Elephas maximus indicus: one gene and its partner. The protein of the gene in region 2 interacts with the protein of the main gene of each other region in a biochemical or structural test. Links are inferred from orthologs where the notes say so. Each region holds a gene or a part of one and is shown on either strand. Other genes may lie near its edges. The genes, in order: RAB1A and CHML.

Evidence for each region.
Region 1: the proteins of CHML (region 2) and RAB1A form a complex in vitro, tested with the Homo sapiens proteins (2 studies listed by BioGRID). The link is inferred for Elephas maximus indicus from reciprocal best matches to the Homo sapiens genes CHML and RAB1A.

The regions. Positions count from the first base shown.
Region 1 is NC_064835.1:71,583,998-71,591,961, reverse strand, and holds the start of RAB1A (ras-related protein Rab-1A), read right to left. Parts: upstream 3,274-7,964; 5' UTR 3,051-3,273; coding exon 3,028-3,050; intron 1-3,027. UniProt on the Homo sapiens protein: The small GTPases Rab are key regulators of intracellular membrane trafficking, from the formation of transport vesicles to their fusion with membranes.
Region 2 is NC_064842.1:22,515,539-22,523,028, forward strand, and holds the start of CHML (rab proteins geranylgeranyltransferase component A 2), read left to right. Parts: upstream 1-4,320; coding exon 4,321-6,288; 3' UTR 6,289-7,490. Other genes in the region: OPN3 (opsin-3), read left to right, coding at 1-179. UniProt on the Homo sapiens protein: Substrate-binding subunit (component A) of the Rab geranylgeranyltransferase (GGTase) complex. Binds unprenylated Rab proteins and presents the substrate peptide to the catalytic component B.

The DNA of each region.
Region 1 (7,964 bases), on a different chromosome or scaffold from region 2:
TCACCTCCTATTGCCCCAAGTAATTTTTACTAACACTTCTCCAAATATTTCCCCAAACTCCTAGATTATTACATCAGGCACAGCCTAACTGTAAAAAAATAACCACAACCCATTGCCATCCAGACAATTCCCACTCACAGCGACCCCACAGGACAGAAGAAAACTGCCCCACAGGGTTTCCAAGAAGTGGCTTGGTGGATTCGAACTGCCCACCTTTTGGTTAGCAGCCAAGCTCTTAACCACTGTACCACCAGGGCACAGTCTAGAATATAACAGCAGCCTAATGGTGAATGGAGCCCCGGTGGTACAGCGGTTAAAGCCCTCAGTTGCTAACTGAAAGGTCCACTGTTTGAAGCCACCAGCTGCTCCACAGGAGAAAGATGTGGCAGTCTGCTTCCATAATGAACCCTTGGAAACCCTCCGGGACAGTCCTACTCTGCCCTACAGGGCTGCTGTGGGTCAGAATCCACTCGACGGCAATGGGTTTAGTTTGTTCTTTTTTTTTTTTTTAAAGGAGAATACTCGAACCTGGAAAAAAACTGTAAAAACTATTTCTAGGTTTGATTCTGTTGAAGTCAATAACCCATAGCACTCAAAAGAACGGATGGTCTGACACCATATTTACTAAAGAAATACTGTCTTTATAATTGAAAGTTAATAAATTTCCAACTATAAAAGCAGTATATATGAACTGAAAAAGGTAAAAGTGTAAAAAAAACTTACAACTGAGAAAGTAACCATTAATATTTTAAAGAATTTTCTTCCAGTTTTCTTCAGCGTATTTTAATATCATAATTAAGATCTTATTGTAAGCAGTTTTGCATCCTGGTTTTTCACTATTTTAACACTAATATTTCACCAAGTAAATTCCTCAGAAATGTTCTTTTTAAGGTCAGTAAAATAAGCCATTCAACAATATAATGTTTTCTTAAAAAAAAAAAAAAGTATTGTTCTTGCCATTTATCAGCCATTCCTCTACCTTTTACCCCCTTGGAAAATCCTCATTCCCTTCTGCTTCACCAAATCTAATTGCTTCTAATTCCCTTACAGGTCCGTTTCTATAAAGGTCAGACCTTCCATTTCTTTCAAGCCTTCCTGAACCAAACCACTCACTCGCCTCTGAAATCTGGTTGCTTAGATTCATGCCACCTATCTAGAACTTGCTGTACCTACTGGTATTTGACATATATGCAATCTATGTTCTATATTCCCTTATAAACTCCTTGATGGTAAGGATTAGATCCCTAAATCCCAGCACTACTATAATGCTTTACATAACGATGTACACCACCTCAAGAGGACTCTTATAGTTTGAACCTCACGAGGATCCTGGTAGGAATAATGACGGGACCATTATCCTATTTTACAAAAATAAGAAACTTGTCAAGATTCTGTTCAACTAATATTTAAGATCTATTTACAGTACTGCATGCATGTAGCAAATATGAAAAACTCCCTGAACAGCAGAGGTTTACACACCTTCATAAGTGGTAAATCCACGTCCTCTACTGTTGCCAGGAAAACTCTGTCCAACTATGCAAAACCAACTTTGTCCTTGGAGCCCCAGATAAAGAAATAAAACACTGTCAACACAGCAAATATGTTACTACAAGTGCGCTATCCTCAACTTCTCGAATTATATAAAATTCTAATAAAATACTATGACTTCTGTTTAGTACAAAAGAAAGAACATTCCCACATCAAACCGCAGCATTACCAAACTTGAAGTCAGAATGCATTTTGCAAGAGCCATGTGACATACACATGACAGCTAATGAGTGGACTTTTCAAGCGGAAATGTTAAGCAAATAAACTCAACTTTTAGGACAAACGCTGATTTTTGCTTTAAAAAAAATTTCCCCTCTCCTCCTAAAAACTGCTGACTCTAAAGAGAATTATCAATTAAATCTTTTCCAAGTATTAATTTATATATATGTGCACGTGTGGAGGATACTGCAGGAGGATTTTTTCAATGGACACTGAGAAGAATCCTACCAAGTCTTCCCAAGGAAAGTAAACACCAGTTCCCAAGAAAGGAGCCAGGTGTGTCACATCTGCTGTGGTGACTTCTGAGTAAGCAAGAAAAAAAATGCATTAACTTTTCATGACACGTCATGGAGCCTCATTCCCTATCTGCAAGCATTCAAGCAGGTAATACAAAACCTACAGATCTACCATAGGTCCCATTCGTTTCTCTTTCAACTTGACAGCAAAGGATTCCTTGAATTTGGTAATATTAGGAAGACGGTCCTTGGTTTCAGTTTTGTTCTTTTATTTGACCTACGGAAAACAAAATGACTTCTGCGTCCTCCTTATAAAAAATAAAAATAAAAAAAACTCCCAAATGTCCAGGTTCTTAGGAAAGTAAGGGCCCGGCGAGTTCTTAAAGAACTCCTTCAGAAAACTCAAAGAGAGAACAAAAATTTTAAATCGCTTCTCGCCAGCTACTCATTCCCCTCAATCCCACGCAGTCCTGAAAAGCATCCATATTACCTGCAACCTGGCGGGGAGGATGGGAGGAAAGAGTAAATAGCCTCAGAATTTACAAGTAAAGCTGGTTTCTACCCTGGCGATCCTGACAGCTCCGCAGGGTGCAGGAACAGGGGCTGATAGTGCCCCGTTGGAGAGCTCTCCTACCTACCTCCGACCCTAAAAAATGAGTCCTTCAAAAGTCACTTCCTCCAAGAGAAGCTACCTCTTCCCACCGCCCCACCACTCAACTCCCAACGCCTGAATCCCCCCTCCCCGAAACTCTCTCGCGGCCCCTTCCTCCTCACCGGCCCTGCACTACGGCCTTCCCACCTGACCGGGTCCAGGCTCCCTCGGCTCACCCCTCCGGCCCGCCCCCTCCCCCCGGCCGCCCCTCCGCCGTCAGACAATGGGGCCCGGCTCCTGGCCGCGGGCCTCTCCCGCCCCATCACCCTCACCTCACCCCGGCCGAAGCCTCTACCCCCGCCCTCCTCGCCCCCTTTGAGATTCCCCAAGCTAGCCCACGGATCCAGCCGACCGGTGCTCTCCTACACTCACTATTCGGGATTCATGCTGGACATGTCACTGCAGCTGCCGCCGCCGCCACCGCCGCCCTTGCTGCCGCAGCCGCCGCCCTGACTCTCCGCGCCACAGATAATCAAAGGAGAGGAATGAGATAGGCTGTTCCGGGAGAGCAAACGTCTTCCCCCACTTCGTCCCCTTAGAACACAATCAGCAGCCGCCGCCACTCAGCTATCGCTTCCACCCAAAATGGCCGCCGGCGAACCAGGAAATAGGGAAGCCTTAGACCGTGGGGCCTTTACACGGCCAGGGGGCGGCCGCACCGCATGGCATGCCGGGAAAGAGAGTCGCAGGCCGCGTCTGTGAGCGCTAAGGACTGACGGTGCAGCGCAGGGACCAGGACTCAACTTCCCGCCAAGCGCTGCGCATTTGGTGCATGCGTATTTGACGGGCTGTGGTCCGCCTCATTCCCCCCAGTTTCACCCCCACCCAGCCGCTCCTCCCCGTTCCCCTCCCTGCTGACTCGCTGGCTAGGTCTTCGCTCGGACTCCCCCTAGCGGATTGGCTAACGCCGAGCTGCCCTGGTGATGTCATCAGTGAGACGTGGCAGCCGGGCGAGTCAGCGCCCCACGGGGGAGGGGGAAGGGAGGGGCAGAGCGCAGTGCTCGGGGCCGGCGGAGGACGGGGGTGGGGTGAGTGCAGGGGGCTGGGAGAGGAGGGAGGGAGGGGTCAGACCGGAGGGACAGCCTGAGTGCCGAGGCGGGCTGGCCGGGGGTGTCGGAGGACACGCCTGGCGGGTCCGCCTCTGGTGCGGCTTTTGCTGGCCTCACCACCTTGGGGCTTGAGCTTCTAGGCCGGTCCCAGGATGCCCGCTCTCAGGATAGAAGGGAAGTAAAAGGCACTTTGCCAAAGACTTCGGGTCTCTGGAAAACACAAAGCCGTTCTTTCAGTTCTCTTCCTCACTCTTCCAGTGGGTCCGATCATCCCAGTATTGGCCGCACGCAGTCCCATTTTCTTGATTTCTTTTCATTCCTATTCCAGCCCGCTCCTAGCACCTCACCCTGGATATTGCGGTAGCTTCCAAATGGACTCTGCATCTATTTCTTCTCCACCCCAGCCCATCTTGCACACACGGCCAGATTTATCTTCCCGAAACAGCACTTTCATGTTGACTACCCCACATCTTCAATGGCTCCGCATTCCGTGGATGAGACACAGCCCAGAGTCAGCCTAAAATTCGAGGTCCCTCCTGTTCGAGCCCCAGCCTTTGAGTGGAAGTGTACTGTCTTATTTTTAATTGTTATTAGTACTGAGCCAATCTGTAAGATTGGACAGTAGTGAGGGATAGAAACGCTCAATACATAACTAGAAACTCAGGGAGTAATATTGATACAATTTTGAAACCTTGTGGTCTTAACAGCTCTCTTTAATCAGTTCAGGAATTTAAATCACTAAACTTTTAAGACATTATCTTGGGTTATTTAATTACGAAGGGCACAGTATAATACGTTGTCCAAAGTTTATCTTCCAACTTGCTCTAGGAACCAAGAAAATTATCTCCTAAGGCTTATTGCAAAATCATTTTATATTCTCATGACATCAAAGTATAGAAAGAAGGTGGTTCTTATTTCTCCCCATTTTTACTAACTACAACTCTTAATCCCCAAATAGTGCTGGCACCTTAGTTGATAACCTCATCAAAGGTACACTAGAGTTCCTTCACATTATGCTGGTTTCTGAAATGAACACAGTCACTACCTCAGAAGAAGGACCCAGAATGGGTCAACGATAGACACCCTGAACAGTAACATACCTCAGTACTTCTAGCTTATTGAAACTTCATAGAATAAAAAATGAGAAAAGGGCTCAAGGACTTCTCCTGAGCCAAAAATGCAATTTTTAATCTCTCCTTCCTCTTGGAAGCATACCCCCAAAGTCCTTTACTTATTTCTTTTCCTAGCAAAGAAGTACCTTCTAATAACTTTTAACCTAAATTGGTTGTGAGAATGAAATAAAATCGAATAGAATTGTAGAACACAATGACTTTTTGAGGGCACTGGTTAAAAATTCTCTTTATCCTCTTCCCTGCAAGTTTTAAGTGTACCTGCTATACACTAAGGACAAAAAGCTTTATATCTCATTATGGTATAATATGCAAGTAGCAGCTTGAGAGTGGTGGGTGGATGTTTCAACTTACTTCAAGTTGTTTAAGTCTCCAACTGCAGCAAGTCAAGAAATCTAACAACATATTACATTGGGCAAATCTGCTCCAAAATACCTATTTAAAGTGTTAAAAAGTGAAGGTATCATTTTGAGGAGTAATGTGTGCCTGACCAAGCCATGATATTTTCAGTCTCCTCATATGCATGCAAAAGCTGGACAATGAATAAGGAAGATCAGAGACAGATTGATGCCTCTGAATTATGATGTTGGTGAAGAATGTTGACTATACCATGACTACCAGAAGAACAAACAAGCCTGTCTTGAAAGAAGCCAGGGTGCTCCTTGAAAGCAAGGATAACAAGACTTCGTCTCATGTACTTTGGACGTGTTATCAGAAAGAACCAGTCCCTGGAGAAGGACATTGTGCATGGTAAGGTCAAAACAAAACAAAAAACCAAACCCACTGCCGTCAAGTTGATTCTGACTCATAGCGACGCTATAGGACAGAGTAGAACTGCACCGTAGAGTTTTCAAGGAGCGCCTGGCAGATTCAAACTGCCGACCTCTTTGTTAGCAGCTGTAGCACTTAACCACTATGCCAGCAGGGTTTCCTGGTAAGGTAAAGAAAAAAAAAAAAAAATTTTTTTTTTTTTCTTTAGGTAAAGAGTCAGCAAAAAAGAGAAAGACCCTCAGCGAGATGAATTGACACAGTGGCTACAGAAATGGGCTCAAACATGGCAATGATTGTCAGGATGGCGCAGGATCTGATAGTATTTCTTCCTGTTGTATATGGGGTTGCTATGAATTGGAACTGACTCATCAGTACCTAACAACAACACTTTTATAGTTAAGATTAATAACTCAGAATAATTCATTAAACTAGCATGAGTCTTATAGGCTGTCCTCTTGTTGAATCAGAACTCTGCTAGGGCTGTTTGTCTCTTCTTTTTTTCTAACTTTCATTTCTCCGTCTCTTTCCACTTTTTTTCTTCATCAGGTATTCATGAGCTGACACAAAAATGTGTCTGGAACTTATGCTTAAAACAATGTGTTAAATGTGTTTGGAACTTGTTCTTGGAACAATGGGAAATGCAAAGACGAATGATTATAACTGTCTGTCTTCAAGGAGATTACAATCCAGTGGGAGAGATGTGTACACAAACAAGGCATAGAGGGGCAAATGCAAAGATAGATTAAAATGATATGAGATGTATAGGGACAGGAATCAAATCAGTGATTGGCAGGAACTAGGATTGTCAAGAAATCAAACAACGTATTGCAGGGGGCAAATTCGCTGCAAAAGATCTGACAAAGAAAAATCTCATACTCTGTTAGGAGTGAAAGAAAAGGGGATTTATTGAAGAAGAGTAACAGCTATAGCTGGGAAGCACTAGGTAAAAATACAAAGTGCTCCAAAATTTACAAACGAAGGCAAGGTTTTTTATACAAGAAGGTTAGAGTAACTGCAACTGCAAACAGACCTTTCTTCATATCAGTTAATCTATTTTCAAACACATTCTTCTAGAGGGCAAGCATTTTTTTTTTTCTGAGAACGATCCACACACCCTTCCTAGAATCATAGTCAAAGAAAAATAACCACATTTGTTTGCAAAGCAAGACTTGTTGATGAGAAAGTGGCACTAATACTTAACAAGCAGCAGGAGGAGTTTAAAACAAAATGGAGTCTGATTCAGACCTGTGTCAGCCATTTTAGTTACCCCAAGCTCCTCAGTTTTAGAGTGCTCTTTCACAGACCTCTTTAAAGAGTTAAAAAGCAAAGATGTCACCTTGAGGACTAGGGTGCACCTGACCCAAGCCATGATATTTTCAATCACCTTATATGCATGCAAAAGCTGGGCAATGACTAAGGAAGACCAAGGAAGAATTGACGCTTTTGACTTATTATAGTGTTGATGGAGAATATTGAATATACCATGGATTGCCAGAAGAATGAACGAATCTGTCTTGGAAGAAGGACAGCCAGATTGCTCTTCAGAAGGAAGGATGGCAAGACTTTGTCTCACATACTTTGAATATGTTATCGGGAGGGATCAGCCACTGGAGGAGGACATCATGCTTAGTAGAGTGTCAGTGAAAAAGTAGAAGACGCTCTATGAGTTGGATTGACACAGTGACTGCAACAATGGGGTCAAAGCAACGGTTATAAGAATGGTGCAGAACTGGGCAGTTTTTTTTCTGTTGTACATAGGGTCGCTGTGAGTCAGAACTGACTTGATGGCACCTAACAACAACAGGTATGGGAAGGAAGGAATTGTTTGCTAAGGGACACAAGGGAACTTTTTGGTTTGATAAAAAATACTCTATATCTTGATTGCTGTGGTGGTTAATTACTTAACTGTATATGTTTATCAAAACTCATATAACTGTATACCTAAAAGAAAGTTGATTTAACTGCATGTAAGTTATACCTCAATTATAAACCTAGTATTTAAAAAATGATCTGAGGTGAAAGTACAGTGGAGGGAAATAATTCCAACTCGAAAAATCGAGGGCACTTTGTTGATGAGGTGGTATTTGAATTAGGCCTTAAAAAAGAATAGAAGTTTGATCACCACTAGAAATGGGGGAGAGGGGGCTGTTTATCCCAGAATATGAGCAAGAGAATTTGTGCAAAACCACGGGAAGTGTGAAAATGTACACGTGTAAGCAATAGTGACCACAGGTTCCATGGGAGATGAGGTGGAGAAGGTTAGGTTGAGTTAGGTTGAGGTGAGATCATGGGGAGCCCCAACTGCCTGCTAAGGAGTTTAGACTTTATTCAGTAGGTGGTGGAGAGCCAAGAAAAGTTC
Region 2 (7,490 bases):
GTACTACAAGTTCCAGCGGCTCCGCACGCCCACTCACCTGTTCCTGGTCAACATCAGCCTCAGCGACCTGCTCGTGTCCCTCTTCGGGGTCACCTTTACCTTCGTGTCCTGCCTGAGGAACGGCTGGGTCTGGGACACCGTGGGCTGCGTGTGGGACGGGTTTAGCAGCAGCCTCTTCGGTGAGTTGGGCGGGGAGGAGGGAGCGAGCGTCCGGTTCCCTGCAGAGCCACCAGCCCACCTCGGCTCCTTCCCGCCCGGCCCGGCGCGCCCGCTCGCCCCGCCTGCCGCCCCTGGCACCAGCCTCCCCTCCGCGTCTCCCTCCTGCTGCACGGCCCGCCTTCCTCCTCCCCTGGGCTCGCCCCGCCAGCGCTGACCACCTCTCCGTCCCCCCATGTGGACCCCAAACCCCAGCCCGTCATCATCTCCTGCTGCTTTTAGCCCCAGCCCCTCCGTAGCCCTGGCCAGCCGCTGCCAAGCTCATCTCCTTTCTCTGCTTTTACCTCCTACAATAATTCAACAGGGCACTAACGACGGCTTTTGCACTTTGAGGAAAGAGACGAGGAAAGTAGAATCGGGAGATTCAAGGAAAAAAGTGACTAACTCGTGAAAGTTGGGGGAAGGGTAACGGGAAGAAACTTAATTCATACACATTTTTTTTTCTTATTCCTAAAATGAGAGGTGGAAACCTAAAATAATAGCAATGTGTAATTTTTTTTTTTCTTTTGCACCTTAGCAGTTGTAAACCTTTGAATGCTTCCTAGGAAGTGACACAGTTTCATTCAGGAATGCAAATTAGCATGTGTCCTATCAGCTGTTTTTTACTATATTTTCCTCCTTATAGGTTCCATGACACCAAAATCTAAGGTGAGAATCCCAACTCAGATGAACAAATAGCTGTGCAAACAGTAGATTTCATTAAAGCAGAACGACTTGATTGTTAATTGAAAATTTATCTCTACAGTTTATCTCTTCTAATCCCCATGGAAGAATTAAATCTCACAGAAACTGACATTTTAAGGATGATCAACCCAGCATTTCGTTGGAAGACATGATTTTCTAAGCTTGGGAAATAAATTATTTTGGGGTGCCCTTTTTTTTTCTGGCAGTTTTATTTGAACAATGATTTGAGATAGAAATGTATATTTTTCAGGTGTTAAAATTCCTTTTCTGTCCAGAAATCTATTGATAATTTATGACTGCTTTTTTATCTTAGCAGGTTTCGGAGAACAAAATCTTTGTAATAATCATCAAAAATATTTTGCTCACCGATTTCTTATGCTGTGACAAACCCAAATATGATGTTTGCTAATGGTTCATTTTTTGATATTTTGAAGCAAACAAGAAAATGTCGTAGGAATCATCACTCCATTAATTTAATTATCTCAGTAATTCTAATACCATTCTCTCCCCACTCCCCAGTAAGCGTTCATCTGAGACTTTCATGTGTACAAAGATTTGAAACTTGGGGAGGGGGCTTTAAGTGTATGTAGGTGATGATACAGATGGCTATGTGATTAAATTCTTTATATTAATAAAAATACCTATTAGGCTTTTTTTTTTTTTAAAGTCAGGGCTAAGCTTTAAAGAGGGTGATTCAAGGCCAAGTGTCAAAAATAATGCCCCCTAGGATGGACAACAGGTGTTTGGTCATAGATGTGAAATCTCTTATTTCCACAAAGTACCTTTTCTGTGCTGGGAAATTCTATTTCTACCTTAATCTGCCTGGAAGGTAGTTTGAAAGCAATGGTGTATTGAGTTCTTTATTACTGCCAACGTGGACCCTCTCCTCAACCTCTTTCCTCTGCCTACACCACCCTCCTGTCTCCTGTCTCCTTTTTCTTCTCTCCTCCTTCACCTTCCCTGCCCAAGGCCCATCCCAATCAGAAGCGATTTTCAAAGAATGCTAGAAACACTCATCGTGCAGTCTTTTACCTCAGGACTGCTCTGTTTTTCTGGGCATTTGGTCAGTGTTTTCAACCATGACTTTATTCCTGCTTTTGAATTAGAGGTGGGGACTCAGAGGTAAGAGGTCCAGAGACCTGTTTAAACCCTTGGAGACAGGTCAGGAGTGGGGTTATGATGGAGCTTGAAAAGTTCTTAGTAACGATTCAGATTTCTTTGGAGTAAATTCTAAGGATGATGCTTCTAGATTAGGGTTAAACATGAAGAAGGCAGCATGCTTCCCCAGGTATTATTCTTGAGCAAAAAGCAACTAGCCATGGAGTACTGAAGAGGGAGGGGGGAAAAAAAAAGCTGCAGTGGCTACACCCTGTCCTCAGCCCCCAGAGGCATTTGAGGAGGCTGCCTGATATAGTGGGAAAATATAGTGGCTGATGGCATGAGGGTGCATTCCGCTCTTGAGTCTATGGCTGATGAACTGTGTACATTTTCCCAGGTCGATTAAACTCTCCAGGGGTCAGTTTTCTCATCTCTGTTATGGAGTAGTTGAGCTAAATGTTCTCTAAGGTCTCGTCTAGCTATGTATTTTGATGACTCCTTTGATATTTGTAGCTTAAGAGGTGCTTTCTTTTAGCACTTGTGGCTTCTGTCCTCTCTCTATACTGACTTCCACCCTCAGCTCCTAACTATCCCCTGCTAAGCTAAGGATAAGCCTGTGCTAGGATCACACTTCTTCACGTACCCTCGTGGAATCTGTCACTCTCTTCACACCTGCTGGAAGAAGGCAGAATAAATAACTCAGCCATACGTACATATATATACATGTATAGGCCAGGCAAACACCTCGTTCTGTGTGCAGTTCCTGGTTTCTCAGGGAATGAGGCAGAGGCTTTGACTAGACAGCGTAGGTAGGCCTAACTTGTACTGATGCAGATTCTAGTAGGTTAAGCAGAAAGGGAGATCAGAATTCAAAGCACTGTCACTCTTACTCACTGTGTAATGAATGATAGAAAGACCCCTCTAGCAGCAGAGTGTGTAGAGGGCAGCCCTCGTGCATAGGTGTGGGGAGGTCGTGCTTTACTGTAGACTTCTAGGTGAGAATGCCCTTTAGCCCATGGCTGCTCCACAGCTGGCCACACCTAGTGCCACACGGGTGTTCTGCACATGGAGTATGCTGGAAGTTCACAGAAGACTTTAATCACTACCACCTCCCACCCCCTCAAAACCAAAAACATCAAAAAAACACGTTAGTCTTGGCAGAGGATGTTTAGACAGCAAGTATTTCTTGGGATACAGAGATTCAGAGTTGTAGAAGTCTAGCAAAATACGAAATCATCCTATTCAAATGTTAGAAGTAGATGTAAGTTATTTATGTTAAGATATTCTAACATATGAACCCGGGAATGTTCTACAGAACATATATGTGCGTATGTACATTCACGTAAAAAAATTGTTACAAATAAATATCTTTCCCGGTAGGCCTATTCGTTTATGCACCTAAGTATTTTTAAATGCCGGTTGCTTTACCGATTTACAGATTCATCTTTTATTAATAACCGGCTGATTAATTCAGTCATAATAGTCATACTTTCATGTGACTACCATAAGATCCTATGGGTGGTTGGGGTCTGGAAAGGTATTCTGGTCAACACCTCTAGAATGACCAACTATATTGGCCTTGGAAATACCCCTAATCATGACAGTATTCACATAGCCTATAATCTATTCCCAGAAATACAATGGCATCACACATTTCTTAGAGTCTAAACTCATAGTTGTATGTAGTTTTATTGAAAGTAAAACTTACAGAATTTTATTATGCTAATTCTTCTTTATTTTTGTCAGACATTATTATGTCCATTTTTCGTTATCAAACTAAGTGATTTGCGAGAGTATATCTCCATTGTTCATTTTCAGGAAATTAGAAACTATGTGAGAAAGCATTTAATGACTTGATTTAGCTGAGGTTTCTATCCAGATAACAAGTGAGGCCCCATCAGACTGTAATTGGTGTTGCATGAAATTACTTTTATGTTGTTTACAATTGTATTCTTTTTTGAATTTTCTTCTTTCAGAGAAGAGTTCCAGTCACAAATGCATATGTGATGCATTTTGACATTCACTGCTAAGATGAAATACAGAAATGAAAACCACACATCACTTTTAGTATTCTCAGAATGATTAGATGTACTTTATCATGTTTTCATGCTACTGACCTATAAGAAAATATATATATATATATATTTAAAAAGGGTAATCATTAAACAGCTAGGACCTGCAACCTTGATGCCTCTGGGATGAACTGGAACATCACAAGGAGAGACTCTATTTCAGCATAGTCACACCTCGGCTGAGCCCTCATCCTAGAGTTGTACGCATTTCCTTCATCGGCAGTTGTCACCAGACACATTACCTCCCAGGATGGCAGACAGTCTCCCCACAGAGTTTGATGTGGTTATAATAGGGACAGGTTTGCCTGAATCCATCCTTGCAGCTGCAAGTTCAAGAAGTGGCCAGAGGGTTCTGCATGTTGACTCCAGAAGTTACTATGGAGGGAACTGGGCTAGCTTCAGCTTTTCAGGATTGCTATCCTGGTTGAAGGAATATCAGGAAAACTGTGTTGATGGGGAAGAAAGTACAGCTGCATGGCAAGGCCTGATCCATGAAACAGAAGAAGCCATTACTCTTCGCAAGAAAGATGAAACCATTCAACACGTGGAAGTTTTTTGTTATGCCAGTCAAGATTTGGATGACAGTGTTGAAGAGGTTGGTGCTTTGCAGAAAAATCCTTGCTCAGTGGCATCTAGTACCCTCACTGAAACTCTGGATTCTGCATGCTTGGGCGAAGACGAGCACTTAGTACACATTCCTAGCTATGAAAGGCCTGCCCAAGACACTTCAAAAAGTGATGGAGAGATTTCGCTAGATGTAAATGACGTCAAGGAACCCCCGGAGAAAGGAAACGATGGTGGAGACAGAGCTCGTGCTCACGCGGTTTCAGATGCAGACAAAGATGAAAACAAACCTGCAGGAGAAGGCAACACAGACCAGCCAACAAGAAACAGGATTACTTACTCTCAGATAGTTAAAGAAGGCAGGAGGTTTAATATTGATTTGGTATCAAAGCTGCTGTATTCTCAAGGATTGCTGATTGACCTTTTAATCAAATCAAATGTCAGTCGATATGCAGAATTTAAAAATGTCACAAGGATTCTTGCATTTTGGGAAGGAAAAGTTGAACAAGTGCCTTGTTCCAGAGCAGATGTCTTCAATAGCAAAGAACTCACTATGGTTGAAAAGAGGATGCTCATGAAATTTCTCACGTTTTGCGTTGACTATGAGCAACATCCTGATGAATACGAAGCTTTCAAGCAATGCTCATTTTCAGAGTACTTAAAAACTAAAAAATTAACTCCAAATCTCCAACATTTTGTACTGCACTCAATTGCAATGACATCAGAGTCATCTTGCACTACGATAGATGGCCTTAAAGCAACAAAAAACTTCCTTCAGTGTCTTGGACGGTTCGGCAACACTCCCTTCTTATTTCCCTTATACGGCCAAGGAGAAATTCCCCAGTGTTTCTGCAGGATGTGTGCAGTCTTTGGCGGAATCTATTGTCTTCGGCATAAGGTACACTGCCTTATAGTTGACAAAGAATCTGGGAGATGTAAAGCAGTTATAGATCACTTTGGCCAAAGGATAAATGCCAAGTATTTTATTGTGGAGGATAGCTACCTTTCTGAGGAAACATGTGCACATGTGCAGTATAAGCAGATCTCTAGGGCAGTGCTCATTACAGACCAATCTATACTGAAGACAGATTCAGACCAGCAGATTTCTGTTTTGATAGTGCCTCCAGTAGAAGCAGGGACCTGTGCTGTTCGGGTCATTGAATTATGTTCTTCAACCATGACATGCATGAAAGACACCTATCTGGTGCATTTGACGTGTTCATCTTCTAAAACAGCAAGAGAAGATTTAGAATCAGTGGTGAAGAAGTTATTCACCCCATATGCTGAAACGGAAGTAGACAAGGAAGCGCTTGAAAAGCCAAGACTCTTGTGGGCTCTTTATTTTAATATGAGAGATTCCTCAGGAATCAGCAGAAGCTCATATAATGGCTTGCCTTCCAACGTTTATGTCTGTTCTGGGCCTGACTCTGGTCTGGGAAGTGAGCATGCTGTCAAGCAAGCTGAAACACTTTTCCATGAGATCTTTCCAAGTGAAGAATTCTGCCCCCCACCTCCAAATCCAGAAGACATTGTCTTTGATGGTGATGATAGGCAACCAGAGGCTCCTGGAACCAATAAGACAATAATGGCTGAACCAGAATCCTCTGAAGAAAGCAAAACCCTAGAAAGTCCAGGGAAGCTGCTTCAAAATTAGAACAGGCAAAACTGGAAATTCTGCATTGGCGTCAGAATATTCTCATTTCAAGGACAGTTTCCATATGAATAAATAGAAGTGGTTATATGATAAATGCAGTGCTAGATGTTGTCTTTAACTCTCTATGAGACAGACATTCAGTCATTGGATGTCTTTGTTTATCGGTAGCTGATTCATTGCTTATTGGACTTCTTTTGTTTAAGAATGGACCCCAAGATCCATAAACTTAAATAGTGTTAGCTTTATTTTTGGTATTGCATATATATATGAGCGTTCCATATTCGGAACTCTGCTTAAAGGAAGGTAATATTGTATCCAGTGATCTTCAGATTTTATCATTATCTACAGAGCAATTAATAATCCCTAAGGAATATTTCAAATACTTTTGCAACGATTGCATTTCCTACCACATCTGCTTTCTTGGAGATATTCGAACAGTGAACCACACAAAAATAAATTATGTGAGTCTTTTTATGTGTATTATGGACACGTAGTGTGGCGATGGTAATAGCAACCAATCCAAGTGCCAATATGATAAAATACATTTGTCTGTAATTGTTAAGCAAATAGCCTTGCATGATTCTTTATTCTTTGTGAAGGGCTGATGTTTAAAATACATTTTATGGTATAATTCAGCAGCTTGACCTTGGTAACCAACTGAGTTAGTTCCATATTACAGAAAGAGTCAGAATTTACTAGTTGAAGAGCTTATTTTTCAGAGTTTCATTTGAGAAAAAAGTTAGAGGATAAGATTAGTTCTGGTTTAATACTTCAGAAAATCTCTGCAGAGCCCTGCTCTAACTTGAAGTTCAGTAGATGAGGCCAACTCAAAAGAACTTCCAGCAAGTAACTCAGGCCACAAAGGGGGGCAGCAATGCTCCAAGAAAAGATACTTCACAGTGGCTGTACTGAAATTCCTAAGAAATTGACTGAGGCATGTTTAACCTGGGATTAAAGCCATCGCAGTTTAAATCCACCAGCCATTCTTTGGAAACCCCATGGGGCAGTTCTCTGTCCTGTAGGGTTGCTATGAGTAGGAATGACTTGACAGCAATGGGTTTGGTTGTTTTGGTTGGTAAATAGTTCAGTCGAGGTTTCTCAGTGAGAATGAAACATACAACCTTGATGACTCTACCAGCTTTAAGTAGCAACACTAACTAAAACTGATAGCAGTGAATCAGAGCATTTGACATACCCTTCGT